Linked DNA regions of Cricetulus griseus. The protein of the gene in region 1 binds, or shares a complex with, the protein of each later gene. Links are inferred from orthologs where the notes say so. Each region holds a gene or a part of one and is shown on either strand. Other genes may lie near its edges.

Region 1 (5,691 bases):
CTGCTGTATGGTGGTTCCATTAAATAATCTTTGATTCTGTGGTATGAGAGTGATCTATGTTCAATAGAAACCACACTTTGAATTTTTGGGGGGTGGGGGAGTATTTCGAGACAGGGTTTCTCTGTGGCTTTGGAGGCTGTCCTGGAACTAGCTCTTGTAGACCAGGCTGGCCTCGAACTCACAGATCTAACTGCCTCTGCATCTCAAGTGCTGGGATTAAAGGTATGCGCCACCACCGCCCAGCTTGAATTTGAATTTTGATCCTCTTTTCTAGGTTAGTGAACAGCACAAACTGTTACTGATATTCAGTGAATTAGTGAGCAATTCAACATTACTGCAGTCAGCTTTGTATTAGACAACTACGTAGCTGTAGGCCAGTGTGTGTTCTGAGCATGCTGAAGGCAGTATGGCTAAGCCATGGGTTGGGGAGGTGTAAAGATAGATTTTACTTAGGTGGGATGTAACTTAGAGGGTTTATTAAGTTGCAGCCCTGTTGTAAATGGAACATTTGGGCTAGTAAGGAAGATGGCTCTGTGGGTACAGGTACTTGCCTCCAAGCCTGAAAACCTGAGTTCAGTTCCCAGGACCCACAGTGTAGGAGAGAACTAATTCCTGTAAGTGGAACATCTCTGTACAGCAGAGTGAAGTTGTGGTTCAGGTTTTATTCTGGCATTTTTTGGATTCATATCTGGCATCGTATACTGAGATCCTGCTATGTGTTTTGTATTATATGAGGTTGTCCCTGCTCGTGTCCAGGAGCTGGGAGGCAGCTCATGGTCAGCCCATGGCTCCAGCTGTCGGCACCTCCATCACACCCTGAAGCTAGAAACGCTGGCAATAATAGAAGGGAAAGTGGCTTTGTGGGCGACCTTGGCTTTGGTGCGTCACCGCTGGTATTGGTGTCTGTGCACTTCTGTGCAACATTTATTTGTCTGAGATTCCCTCTAGGAAATAAAACAGGATTTTAATCAGATCAATTACATCACTGTTTCTTTCTGGGTTTCTAGAATTCTGATCAAGAAGGAGGTGGAAAGAAGAAGAAGAAAAAGAAGGACAAGAAACACAAAAAGGATAAGAAACACAAGAAGCACAAAAAACACAAGAAGGAGAAGGCTGTGGCTGTAGCCACTGCAGCTCCTGCCACCCCTGCAGCTATTTCTGCTGCCACAACCACATCAGCACAGCAAGAGCCTGTGGCAGCCACAGAGCCCAGGAAGGTATTCACCCACCACCTCTGCTCTGCTAGCTGCTACTCAGGGCTAATGTTTCCTGAGGCCTTCCAGGACCAAGGAGAAGAGTACAGATGGCTTCCCAAAAGCTTAATGCTCCAGTGCCTGTCCTGGAACTTACTCTGGGGATCAGGCTGGTCTCAAACTCACAGAGATCCGCCTGCCTCTGCCTCCCGAGTGCTAGGACTAACTAAAGGCATGCGCCACCACTGCCCAGTTTTTTAATTTTTTAAACTACTTTCTGGGCAGTGCTGGGACAAGAGCACAGTGCAGGACTTTTTGCTGTGCGTTAGGCATGTGTGCTTCCACTGAGCACACCCCTAGTCACACATACTAAATGCAACCAAAAAAAAATTCACATAATGGGAAAAGGTGGCGGGGGCTCCCAAATAACCAACAGTGGCTGGTTTTGTGTGTGTTCATCCATTGTGTACATGTAAAAGCCATTGGTATCCCCTTTTTTTTTTCCCCCGTGTTTTTATTGCATTTTATTTGTGTGTACACGAAGACACCCGAACATCTACACAGAAAGGTCAAGACAATTTTGACTAGTTAGCCTTCCACCATGTGGAGGAGTACTTTTGAGCAAACATGAGTCATTAGGGTTAGCCAGATGGTGGTGGCGTGTGCCTTTAATCCCAGCACTCAAGAGGCACTCTGTGAGTTTGAAGCCAGCCTGGTCTACAAAGCTACATAGAGGAACCACATACAAGTCATCAGGGTTGGTGGCAGGCTCCCTAAGCTATCTTGTCTGGAGTTCACTATTTCAAATAGACTGGACCACCTCCCCAGCACTTGGGGTTGCAGGTGCACTGCTACCAGGGGACCCTAACTCAGATCCTCGTGCCTGCATAGCAAGCATAGGTCTTACGACTCAGTTTGTGGAGGGCTTGCTTAGCAGGCTCAAGGCCTTGGGTATGGTTCCCCAAGCCCCAGATAAACTGGGTGTGGTACTGTGGGTGCTTGTAAGGCCAGCACTTGGGAGGCTGAGGCAGAAAGATCCGAGGCTCATGGTTGTTCTGGCTCCTTAACAAGTTCTAAACAAGCCTGGGATACGAAGAGACACCTGTCTTAGAAGTCATGATTTAAAGTGGGTGCTTTTTATATAAGCAGAGTGTATTGTTGCTGCAGTTTGGCTCTGGTCTGTACTCAGCATCTCCTGCTGTGTCTCAAGCCTTAACATCTGCCTGGTTTGGCTTTGTTTTCCAGGAGACTGAAAGTGAAGCTGAGGACAACCTTGATGACTTAGAGAGGCACCTTCGGGAAAAGGCCCTTCGGTCCATGCGGAAGGCTCAAGTGTCCCCACAGTCCTAGGGGGACATGTTTGTTACGTTGTAAATTTTATTTGGTTTGTACTCAATTTCAAAATTGCTAAAATGTGTTTGAGCTTTAGACTATAACATTTGTTGTAATAATTGCTAGGTTGAAGTTCACCATGGGTTTTTCTTTTTTTTTCTTTTTTTTTTTTTTCTTTTTTTTTAAAGAGGGCATGGATTTACATTACAAAGGTGTCCACAGTGTATTAGTGACATTCTTCCATTGACATTTAGAGTGAAATATTTTAAGCCCCCCCAAAAAAAGATTTTTTTTTAAGGGCATTTAAATATTGTTGGCATTCTTGTGGTTCCTTTAAATGCCTTTGCCTCCCCTCCCCGCCTGTTTTTCTTCCTTCCTCTTGAATTTTGGGATCCATGTGAATTATGCTTACAACCTTGTATAGGTTTGTAAGCTTGCCCAGAAGTGAGACCACTGTGAAGTACCACAAAGGTCTGAGTGAGTGTTTTCACTCCCGTTGTCTCTGCCGACACCTCGGGATCTCAGCTCTAGAGAGCAGGGGAGGCACTGCTCATGGGTGCTGGAGATTCTGTCCGAGTGTGACAGCTTCCTAAGTTGATTTACAACTCTGGGATTTTTGTCCTCTTTAGGTTGATTTGTTTTGTTTTTCTGTCTCCCCCTTTTTTCTTTCTCTTTTGTAAAGGCAATTTGCTAGACCCAGCAAGGACCCTTCAGTTACATAAATTTGTTTTATGAAACTGCATGGGCCCATCCATATTTTTTTCCCTTACTCTTCCAATTGGTACACAAAACTGAAGAGCTCTTGCATTGGCAGGCTGGGAGGGCCTGGACTTGGACATAGTGTCTTGGTTTCACTGTTTTATTTTATTTTATTTTTTAACTAAAGCTATATAAAGCTTGTGGATTAAACAGAATAAATTTCTAAATTTAAAAACGTTGCCACTCACTTTAACTCACTTGCCTGGGTACTACAAGACAACTCCACCATCTTGGTAGAACTGGATGTGCAGGGAAAATGAGAATCGATGAAGCAGGATTTTCCCCTTTTATTTACTAATTAACTTCAGAGAGTGCTAGAGGGGAAAGTGTGGTGAGTTCTTGGAACATGAGAAGCGGGGGAGGGTAATTCGACAGCAAAAGCAGATGTCTTTGAGGCAGATCGTTGAGGCAGATCGCACAGTATCATTGCCCTCAGGTTTGGGGGGGCAGGGCCTAGCACTCCCAGAAAGGAACTTACTTGGAGGTGGGCCAGAGAATGTGAGGCAGAGCAGTCACCTTTGTATGAGAAAGGAGCTGAGAGCTTGGGCACCAGGAGTCTCAGCTGATTATTTGGATCCATGGGTACATTTGTTAGTAATTTCTGACACTTGACACAGAAACGCAAGATGCTCAGGTCTTAATTTCAGGAAAACTTGGGTTTGGGTTTGGTTTGGTTTGGTTTGGGGTTTTGATGTTTTCTTGTTTTTGTTTACTTTATTTATTGGCTTTTACCCAAAAGACCTCAGTAGTGATGGGCTGATTCTACATGGGGTTATAATAAAGAAAGGCATACTAAATGAAGATAGTCCCGAAGGACTCCCCAGCTGACAATAGAGTTTCACATGAGAGCAGAACTTTCCAGGTTCTCCCATGTATTACAAGTAAGTGGAAACTAAACGTGGAGACATGGGAGAAGCAGTGTTCAGCTTCTGGAAGGTTGATTGCCAGCATAAACAACCAGTGAGCACCATTGGAATATTTCCATCTGTTTAGCCCTTCATCTGGAGCATTTATGACTCGATTCCTGCTACTCATGAGTTTTCATTCTTTCCCTTCGGCTGCCCTTGGCCATAGCTGTACTCAACTGAAGCCAGATCAACAGCAGTCTTTGGCTACACGGGGAAGTCAGGTTGTTTAGAGGCTAACCCAGGCTACATGACATCTTGTCTGGAAGATGGATCCAGGTGTGTTAGCACACATCTGTAATCCCAGCACTCAGGAAACAACTGGAGGGTCATCCTTCCGAGCCTTGTCTCTGGTTTCCTTTGAGACAGGGTCTTGCTGTTGAATTCATGAACTCAAGTGATGCAACAAGATGAGTCAGCATTTCACTTGGACTCAAAAAATAATAAAGAAGCTGGGGGTGGTGCACGCCTTTAATCCCAGCACTCCGGAGGCAGAGGCAGGCGGATCTCTATGAGTTGGAGTCTAGCCTGGTCTACAAGAACTAGTTCCAGGACAGCCTCCAAAGCCACAGAGAAACCCTGTCTCAAAAAACCAAAATAATAATAATAAAAGAAAATGAAGGAAGTGGGAAGGAGACTAGAGCTGGGTGTGGTCAAGATGTTTGTTGTTGTTACACATGTGAGATTGCCAAAAATTATAGCATTTTTGTTTCTTTTTAAAGAAAGGGGCTGGAGGTGTAGCTCAGTTGGTAGTATCTACCTAACATCTCCAACGCCCTGGGTTCAATCCCAGCACTGTGTAAACCAGGGGTGGGACCCCTGCATTTCCAGCACTTGGAAATTGTCTGCTAAAGAATCAAGTTCAGGTTAAGATGAGATCTCGGGGAAAAAGGGAAAAGTTAGGGTTTGAAGTGATGTATATGTTCAAGACTGTTGTGATGGCTCAGCAGTTAAGAGCACTCCTTACATTAATAGAACAAGGGCCTAGAGAGATGGCTTAAATGGTAAGAGCACTGGCTGCTCTTCCAGAGGTCCTGAGTTCAATTCCCAGCAACCACATGGTGGCTCACAACATCTATAATGAGATGCAGCGCCCTCTTCTGTAGTGTAGGCAAATATGCATACATAGTAAATAAATTATACACATACATACACACACACACACACAACTTTTTTTTAATTAAAGTGATGTGTTCGTGTGCCAACAATGACAAGGGGTGAAGTGTCAGTTTCATCAATCAACTAGACACAAATTTAAGAGTCTTCTGGAAAGAGGAAACCTTAGCTGAATAATTGTCTTCATCAAATTGGCCTGTGGCCATTTATACGAGTCCTGATTTCAATTGCTAACTGATTTGGAAAGTGACAACCTAAGCAGGTAGGCCTTGAGTATATAGGAAAGCTAGCTAAGAACTGGATGTGGTGGCACACACCTTTTTAATCCCTGCACTTGGGAGACGGGGTGGGGGTGGGGAGGTTGGTTGGTTTGGGTTTTGTTTTGT
Region 2 (6,930 bases), on another chromosome or scaffold:
TGAGATTATAGGTCTGAGCCACCAAGCCTGGCTTTCAGACATTTTTTTTTTTCCTGATTCCAGACAGGGTTTCTCTATGTAACAGCCTGTTCTGAAACTCACTCTATAGACCAGGCTGGCCTCAAACCCACAGAGATCCACCTGCCTCTGCCTGCAACACTACACCAGCAGCTTTCAGAAAACTTTTAAACTTCCATGTCATTGAGACTATGCCAGAACTTAGAGACATAAAGTTGAAAGGAAACTTTCTTCTCTTAAAGAGCCTGTAGACTGCAGGAAGACAAGGAGACAAACATCTGGGCTCACAGACTGCAGAAGGGAACACAGAGGGAAAAGTTCCCAAGTCTTCAAGGCCCATATGACAGTACTCCTAAAACCCACGCCCCCGAGTGCCTTGTTCACACTCCTCATCTCAGCACTCAAGATAAAAGAGCACTTTAAGTTCCAGGCCAGTTTAGGCTACACAGTGACATACTGACTAGAAAATCCACCCTGCTGTCAGTGGTGACACACACCTTTAATCCCAGCACTCAAGAGGCAGGCGGATCTCTGTGAGTTCGAGGCCAGCCTGGTCTACAGAGGAGTTCCAGGGCAGGCTCCAAAGACAGAGAAATCCTGTCTCAAAAAAACAAAATATAACAAAAAAAAAAAAAGAAAGAAAGAAAAAAAGAAAGAAAGAAAATCCACCCTCCCCACCACACACAAAAATCAACTAATACCCACTCTCAATTCCAAACAAAAATTAACAGCTCCTGATATCCCGCCCCTTGCGAATATTTCTACATAGCCATTCTTCTTCTCTATTCTCATGAGAATTTAAATTACTTGAGCACACCAATACACATTTATGCTTTATCTCCAGGAAGGGTTACTATAATGCTTTAAGTACAGCAAGCAGGGAAATTTGTCTAAATTCAACATTTGTTTGTATGTGGTAAAAAGGATAGAGAGGGGGAGGCTACAACTTTAATTTTTATGCCCATCAAACTTCTCCTAGGTGTGACCAGAAATGTTTGATGTATATAGAGGGTACTTGTTTTGTGCCTCGCCGGAAAGAAAGCACAGAGTGGAAAGAACTAGAAACAGGCACTTTAGGAACTCTACTAACACAGTTCTTTCTGACTTGTGTAAATGTTTACTCACTTTTAGTTTTTTTGTTCGTGGCTAATAGTAGGGGACTTAGAGTCAGACAGACCTATCTGAAACCTTACTCTGACACTCAAAGTTATTTGACCTTGATCAAACTGGTTATCCGTCTTACGTCTCACGGTGAGTCTCACGGTGAGTCTCACGGTGAGTCTCACGGTGAGTCTCACGGTGAGTCTCACGGTGAGTCTCACGGTGATAGGGGCACAAGATCCAAATAGGTTAATGGCTATAAACCACACCCCAACCACCACCCTATCCCGGCATCCAACCCAATCCAAGGAGCTGCTCCTCCCACTGGGATAGTAGGGCAGGTCTGTGAGTGTGGATAGTGCTACCCTGAGAGGTGTAAACAAAATAAGACAAAGCAGAGACCACAATATAATTAATATAACATCAGGGAAGGCCGCTTAGCAGACCACCCAGTTTCTCCTGGGCACTAAATCTCTCCTGAATGGTCACCACACCACAATCCTTGGAAGACTCACCGTCACCCCGTATTTGAGTGCTAGTCCAGCCAGGGTGTCTCCAGGCTCCAACTGATGCTCCAAGCGTCTTTCCCTCACCGGGGAGCACGATGATTGTACCAGGCTTCCATAAGAACGAGCACGGCTCCCATGCAGCAGCCCTGACCCCCCAAGTGGGGGCTGTCTAGAGGGAGAAGCCATCTCAAGATGCCAAGATCTAGGGTCACAACTGAGGAAAGCTAAGTGACCAACAGTGAGGGCCGAACCCCAGGAATGGATAGATATTCTAGGAATTCCTTCTCACTTCTCTCTTTAGTGTCCCCGCTCTCGAGAGACTACATCAATGCTCCTCTTGCTGCTGCTTACCGAGCTTGGGGTCACAGTCCGTACCCTAAGAAGGCTGCCAGGCCGGTTACATTTCTCCTTCCTCAAGACCCTTGCCCATAAATATCTTCCCTGAGTGGTCGGTCGCCGACCCCTTCGACTTTCGACGCCCTCTCCCCAACTCCTTGCAAGCCTGATCTCTGACCTTTGAACCCTAGACACCCTCATCAACACTCTCCCCTCAGTGTGTCCCCACGTCCCGCAGCCGGGCCGCCGGGAGCCCCCACATCCTCTCTGCTCCAAATCAGGCCCACCCCAGGTAGATCGTGGCTGTGGACGGTGAGCCTGGGGACTGAGAGAGTTTGCAGTACACGGTCCACTGAGATCCCCGAAGCCTCGCTCCACGCCAGGAGGGTCCCACCCTGAAACTCCGGCTCCACGTACAGGTTCTTGGTCTCCAAACACCTGGGTCCTTCGCGATGTGAGTGCCTGTACTCAGGTGAGCGGTGAGGTCTTTTAAAAACAACAAAAAAAAGAAAATAACTAAAAGACTTCATTTCCCAAAAGGCAAAGCGTTCTCAGGGCATCATAGGAAATGCAGGCACCCTCAGGGCTCTGGAGGCGGGTCTTCCGGCTCGCGCGGTGCATGCGTGGAAACGCATCCCCGGAAGTAAAGACTTAATCAGAAAAAGACCGGAAGCAGGGAAGGCGATAACCTACTCTTCCTACGGTGGCCCGAAGGAGAGGCAAAGTAGGCGTAGGAGAATTTATTATTTCTAAGACTCACAGTCGTGATGTCTTTCAAGAGGGAAGGTGACGACTGGAGTCAGCTCAATGTGCTCAAAGTAAGCCCTAGTGAGAGTCTACCCACGAGCAGTGGTGGCGCACGCTTTGAATCCCAGCACTTGCGAGGCAAAAGCCGGTGTGTCCGTGTTGCGTTTGAGGTTCGAGGCCAGCCTGGTCCACACAGCCAGCTCTAGAACAGTCAAGGCTACACGAAGAAACCCTGTCTCGAAAAATCAAAGAACTAGAGAGAGGGAGAGCCCAGCTTCAGTCGCGCTTTGCATTGTTTTGTTGCTCTGGCGACATCTGTGGGAGGGGGTTTCGGGGGCCAGAACTGAGTGATGCCTCCTCCTTCTTACCCTATGGTCTGCTCCATTTGACTCTTTATCCCTGTTATTTCTTTTCATCCATCCCTCATATTCGTTTCTCCTGTCCTGCTCTCTGCAGAAACGAAGAGTTGGAGACTTGCTGGCCAGTTACATCCCAGAGGATGAGGCGCTAATGCTGCGGGATGGACGGTGAGAGCAGAGTGGATCAAGCCTGGGGATTTGCTATCAGAGGCTCAACAGACTTTGGTTTCTAAGGAGATCAGGAGTGTAATAGATCCTTTGGTTGGAAGTGAAGATTGGAAGAGGTGGCGATCGGGAGACCTGGGCGTTGGTGGAGTGCTTTGACAGGCATAGCCCCTAAGTAGGAACACCCCAACCACCGGCTCTCCAACACATACGGGTTTGCCATTCACTTCTCTTTTCCCTAGCTTTGCTTGCGCTATCTGCCCCCATCGACCAGTCCTGGACACGCTGGCCATGCTGACTGCCCACCGTGCAGGCAAGAAGCACCTATCCAGTAAGTACAGGAGAAGGCGGGGAGTGGAGGAATGATAGAGAATACACTCTGAACATTTTGTCAGTCTACTTGATGTTGTGCTTGCTTTCCTTTTCAGGTTTGAAGCTCTTCTATGGCAAAAAGCAATCAGGCAAGAAAACAGAGCAAAAACCAAGACAGCAAAATGAATTGAAGACAGAAAGCAAAGCCGAGGTGAGAGATCTGGTCAGGTGTTGTTCAGGCAGGGCTGTACTGCATGCAACAGGACTTTTGCCTAACATCTCCAACTGTGTCTTCTTCTCTTGATAACCAGGCACCTTTGCTAACCCAGACTCGATTAATCACCCAGAGTGCTCTGCACAGAGCTCCTCACTATAGCAGTTGCTGCCGGAGGAAGCACAGGTCTGTAGAGGGGGAAATCCGGAAGTGGGAAAGGGTAGAAGGAAATAGATGGTTCTGAAGTTACTGCTCTCCAAACTGTACTCTGAGAAACACTAATCTTGTGGAGATGTTGTTTAAAGAAAAATGATAGTTTGTGGTTTGTTTTGTTTTTGTTTTTTGTTTTGGTTTTTCAAGACAAGAGTTTCTCTCTGTAGCTTTGGAGCCTATCCTGGCACTTGCTCTGGTGACCAGGCTGGCCTCGAACTCACAGAGATCCCCCTGCCTCTGCCTCCTGAGTACTGCAATTAAAGGCGTGGGACACCATCGCCTGGTGATAGTTTGTGATTTTAAAATAAATTTTAGCCGGGTGTTGGTGGCTCACACTTTAATCCCAGCACTCCGGAGACAAGGCAAGTAGATCTCTGATCTATAGAGTGAGTTCCAGGACAGCCAAGTCTACACCAAACAAACAAAAACCCTGCCTTGAAAAACAAAATAATGCACACACACACAAAAAAATAGTAACATTATTGCTGGATGGTGGCACACGCCTTTAATCCTGGCACTCCAGAAGCAAGGCCAGTGGGTCTCTGAGTTCCAGGCCAGCCGGGGCTACAGAGGAAAAAAAAAAAAAAGTAACATAATCTGGGCATAGTGGTACACTTTTTTGTTTGTTATTGAGAGGGGATCTCCCTTTGTAGCCCTGGCTGTCCTGGAACCCTGCTATTTAGACCAGGGTGGCCTCAAACTTACAGAGATCTGCCTTTCTCTGCCCCTTAAGTGCTGCAGGTACTAAAAGTGTGTACCACCATACCTGGTTATGGAAAATCTTGAGGCAAAAGCGTAGAACTATTAAGCTGGCTTTTCTCAAGTTCCTAATTCCAAAATCTTTCATATGTAAAATATTTAAGATCTTATGGAACTCAAGCTGGGTGTGGTGGTATACACTTTTAATCCCAGTACTTAGGAGGCAGAGGCAAGTGGATCTCTGTAAATTTAAGGACAGCCTCATCTACCTAGTAAATTCCAGGTCCATCATATGTACTCTATCTCCAAAAAAGCAAACAAAAAAACCTCAGGAACTAGCCAGGCAGTGGTGGCTCACGCCTTTAGTCCCAGCACTCTGGGAGGCAGAGGTAGGCAGATCTCTGTGAGTTCTAAACCAGCCTGATCTACAAGAGCTAGTTCCAACAGCCTCCAAAGCCACAGAGAAACCTTGTCTCAAAAAACCGAGGAAAAGAAAAAAAAAAAAAACAAAAAACTCAGGAACTCAGTTTAGGAAACACTGCTCTTCAGGCTTGGGAGGCACGGGGAAGCTGCTACTTTCCTTCTGTGCATTTAACAGGCTTGGTTTCTTTTCTCCCCAGACCAGAGGCTCCTGCTCCCTCTGTCTCCAGTTCTCCTTTGCCTGCCCCAGAGGTTGGACTCCAGAGTGCAAAGATCAGTAGGGAACCTGAGACTAAGGCAGGATCACATGCCAAAGAGTCATCAGATCTCCTGGCCTCTGCACCCATAAGCCCCACAAAACGACGAGTCCTGAACCATTACCTTACCCTCCGAAGGTTAGTCTGCCGAATCACATTCCTTGGGTTTCTTTCATTTTCCCAACCTGACGTTTTTCAAACCCACCCAATTGCTTTTATCTTGTCACCAGTAACTTTTTAAAAAATAAAATTACAGCCGGGCGTTGGTGGCGCAAGCCTTTAATCCCAGCACTCAGGAGGCAGAGGCAGGCGGATCTCTGTGAGTTGGAGGCCAACCTGGTCTCCAGAGCGAGTGCCAGGATAGGCTCCAAAGCCACAGAGAAAACCCTGTGTCGAAAAACCAGAAAAAAAAAATTAAATTACATTTATTTACTTATTTATGTAGGGGCATACTTGTGTTAAGTCAGAGGACAACTTATAGGGGTTGGTCCTTTCTTTATACCCTGTGGCTCCCGGGGATGGAACCCAGTACCACAAACCTTTTTCATAAAACTCTTCCCTGGCCGGGGGGTGGTGGCGGCGCACACCTTTAGTCCCAGCACTCCGGAGGCAGAGGCAGGTGGATCTCTGTGAGTTTGAGACCAGCCTGTTCTACAAGAGCTAGTTCCAGGACAGCCTCCAAAGCCATAGAGAAACCCTGTCTCGAAAAAAAAAAAAAAAAAAAGAAAAGAAAAAGTAGATAAATAAAACTCTTCCCTGACCAGTTGTTTTTTCTCTGATGTTTTCAGCTCTGGATGGATCCCAGATGGACAAGGTCGATGGATAAAAGATGAAAATGTTGAATTTGACTCCGATGAGGAAGAGCCCCCTGACCTCCCCTTGGACTAATAACCGTCTCCCCATTTGTTCCACAAATAAACTACAGTGGGTCCTGGGAGCCTAATAATCCTCCAGTCAGGTTCCTTGTTCAATCTTAGGCTTTCAAATCTGTTCATCCTCAACTTGGCCACTCCTTTCCTGCAACGTACATGGCTCCCCATACTTCTGACCCCTCCCCCACTTGCCAAAAGCCTTGCCAAGCGTCAGCTGCGTTCAGCCTGGTGCCCTATTAATAAGTCTGTCAGAAAGAGGTCTCTGCCCTTCGTGTACTCTGACTCCTTCCCCACCTCCACTCTAGGTCCTTTCTCTTCAGATCACATGGGGACTGCCAATGGGCACTATGGGGGCTCTGGCCACCTCTCTCTGCAAAGAGGACCGAGGCCAAGTACCCTGCGGAGAGGCTAAAGCCTTTGGCAGATTTATGGGGAACACAAGGGACAGAGCCCACCCCCCCTCCTAGTAACCTGAACCTCCCTGCCTGCTGATCCCCAGAGTATAAATAATCCCTTGATGAACTGGCAGTACCCCTTGAGTGGTAGCGCCAAGATTCCCACCCCAACCCAAGGAAGGAGACAGGCGGCGTGAACAAAAGGGATTTTATTTACAGGAAATGGGAGAGATGAGGAGTTATATGTCCAGGCCTCTCATCTCTTGCTGGTATAAGGACAGGTGATGTTATCTCTTCTTTTGCTGTCGGCCTG

What was found. Proteins that work in one complex are often made in the same cells at the same time.
Region 2: Srrm1 (region 1) and Scnm1 share a complex: the UniProt entries of both Homo sapiens proteins name them as parts of the minor spliceosome. The link is inferred for Cricetulus griseus from reciprocal best matches to the Homo sapiens genes SRRM1 and SCNM1.

The regions. Positions count from the first base shown.
Region 1 is NC_048595.1:17,950,545-17,956,235, forward strand, and holds the end of Srrm1 (serine/arginine repetitive matrix protein 1), read left to right. Parts: intron 1-1,007; coding exon 1,008-1,217; intron 1,218-2,438; coding exon 2,439-2,543; 3' UTR 2,544-3,463; downstream 3,464-5,691. UniProt on the Homo sapiens protein: Part of pre- and post-splicing multiprotein mRNP complexes. As a component of the minor spliceosome, involved in the splicing of U12-type introns in pre-mRNAs. Involved in numerous pre-mRNA processing events.
Region 2 is NW_023276806.1:61,365,963-61,372,892, forward strand, and holds Scnm1 (sodium channel modifier 1), read left to right. Parts: upstream 1-2,615; 5' UTR 2,616-2,731; coding exon 2,732-2,782; intron 2,783-3,167; coding exon 3,168-3,238; intron 3,239-3,477; coding exon 3,478-3,566; intron 3,567-3,663; coding exon 3,664-3,758; intron 3,759-3,858; coding exon 3,859-3,947; intron 3,948-5,293; coding exon 5,294-5,488; intron 5,489-6,138; coding exon 6,139-6,238; 3' UTR 6,239-6,303; downstream 6,304-6,930. Other genes in the region: Lysmd1 (lysM and putative peptidoglycan-binding domain-containing protein 1), read right to left, coding at 1,635-1,830, 2,382-2,494. UniProt on the Homo sapiens protein: As a component of the minor spliceosome, involved in the splicing of U12-type introns in pre-mRNAs. Plays a role in the regulation of primary cilia length and Hedgehog signaling.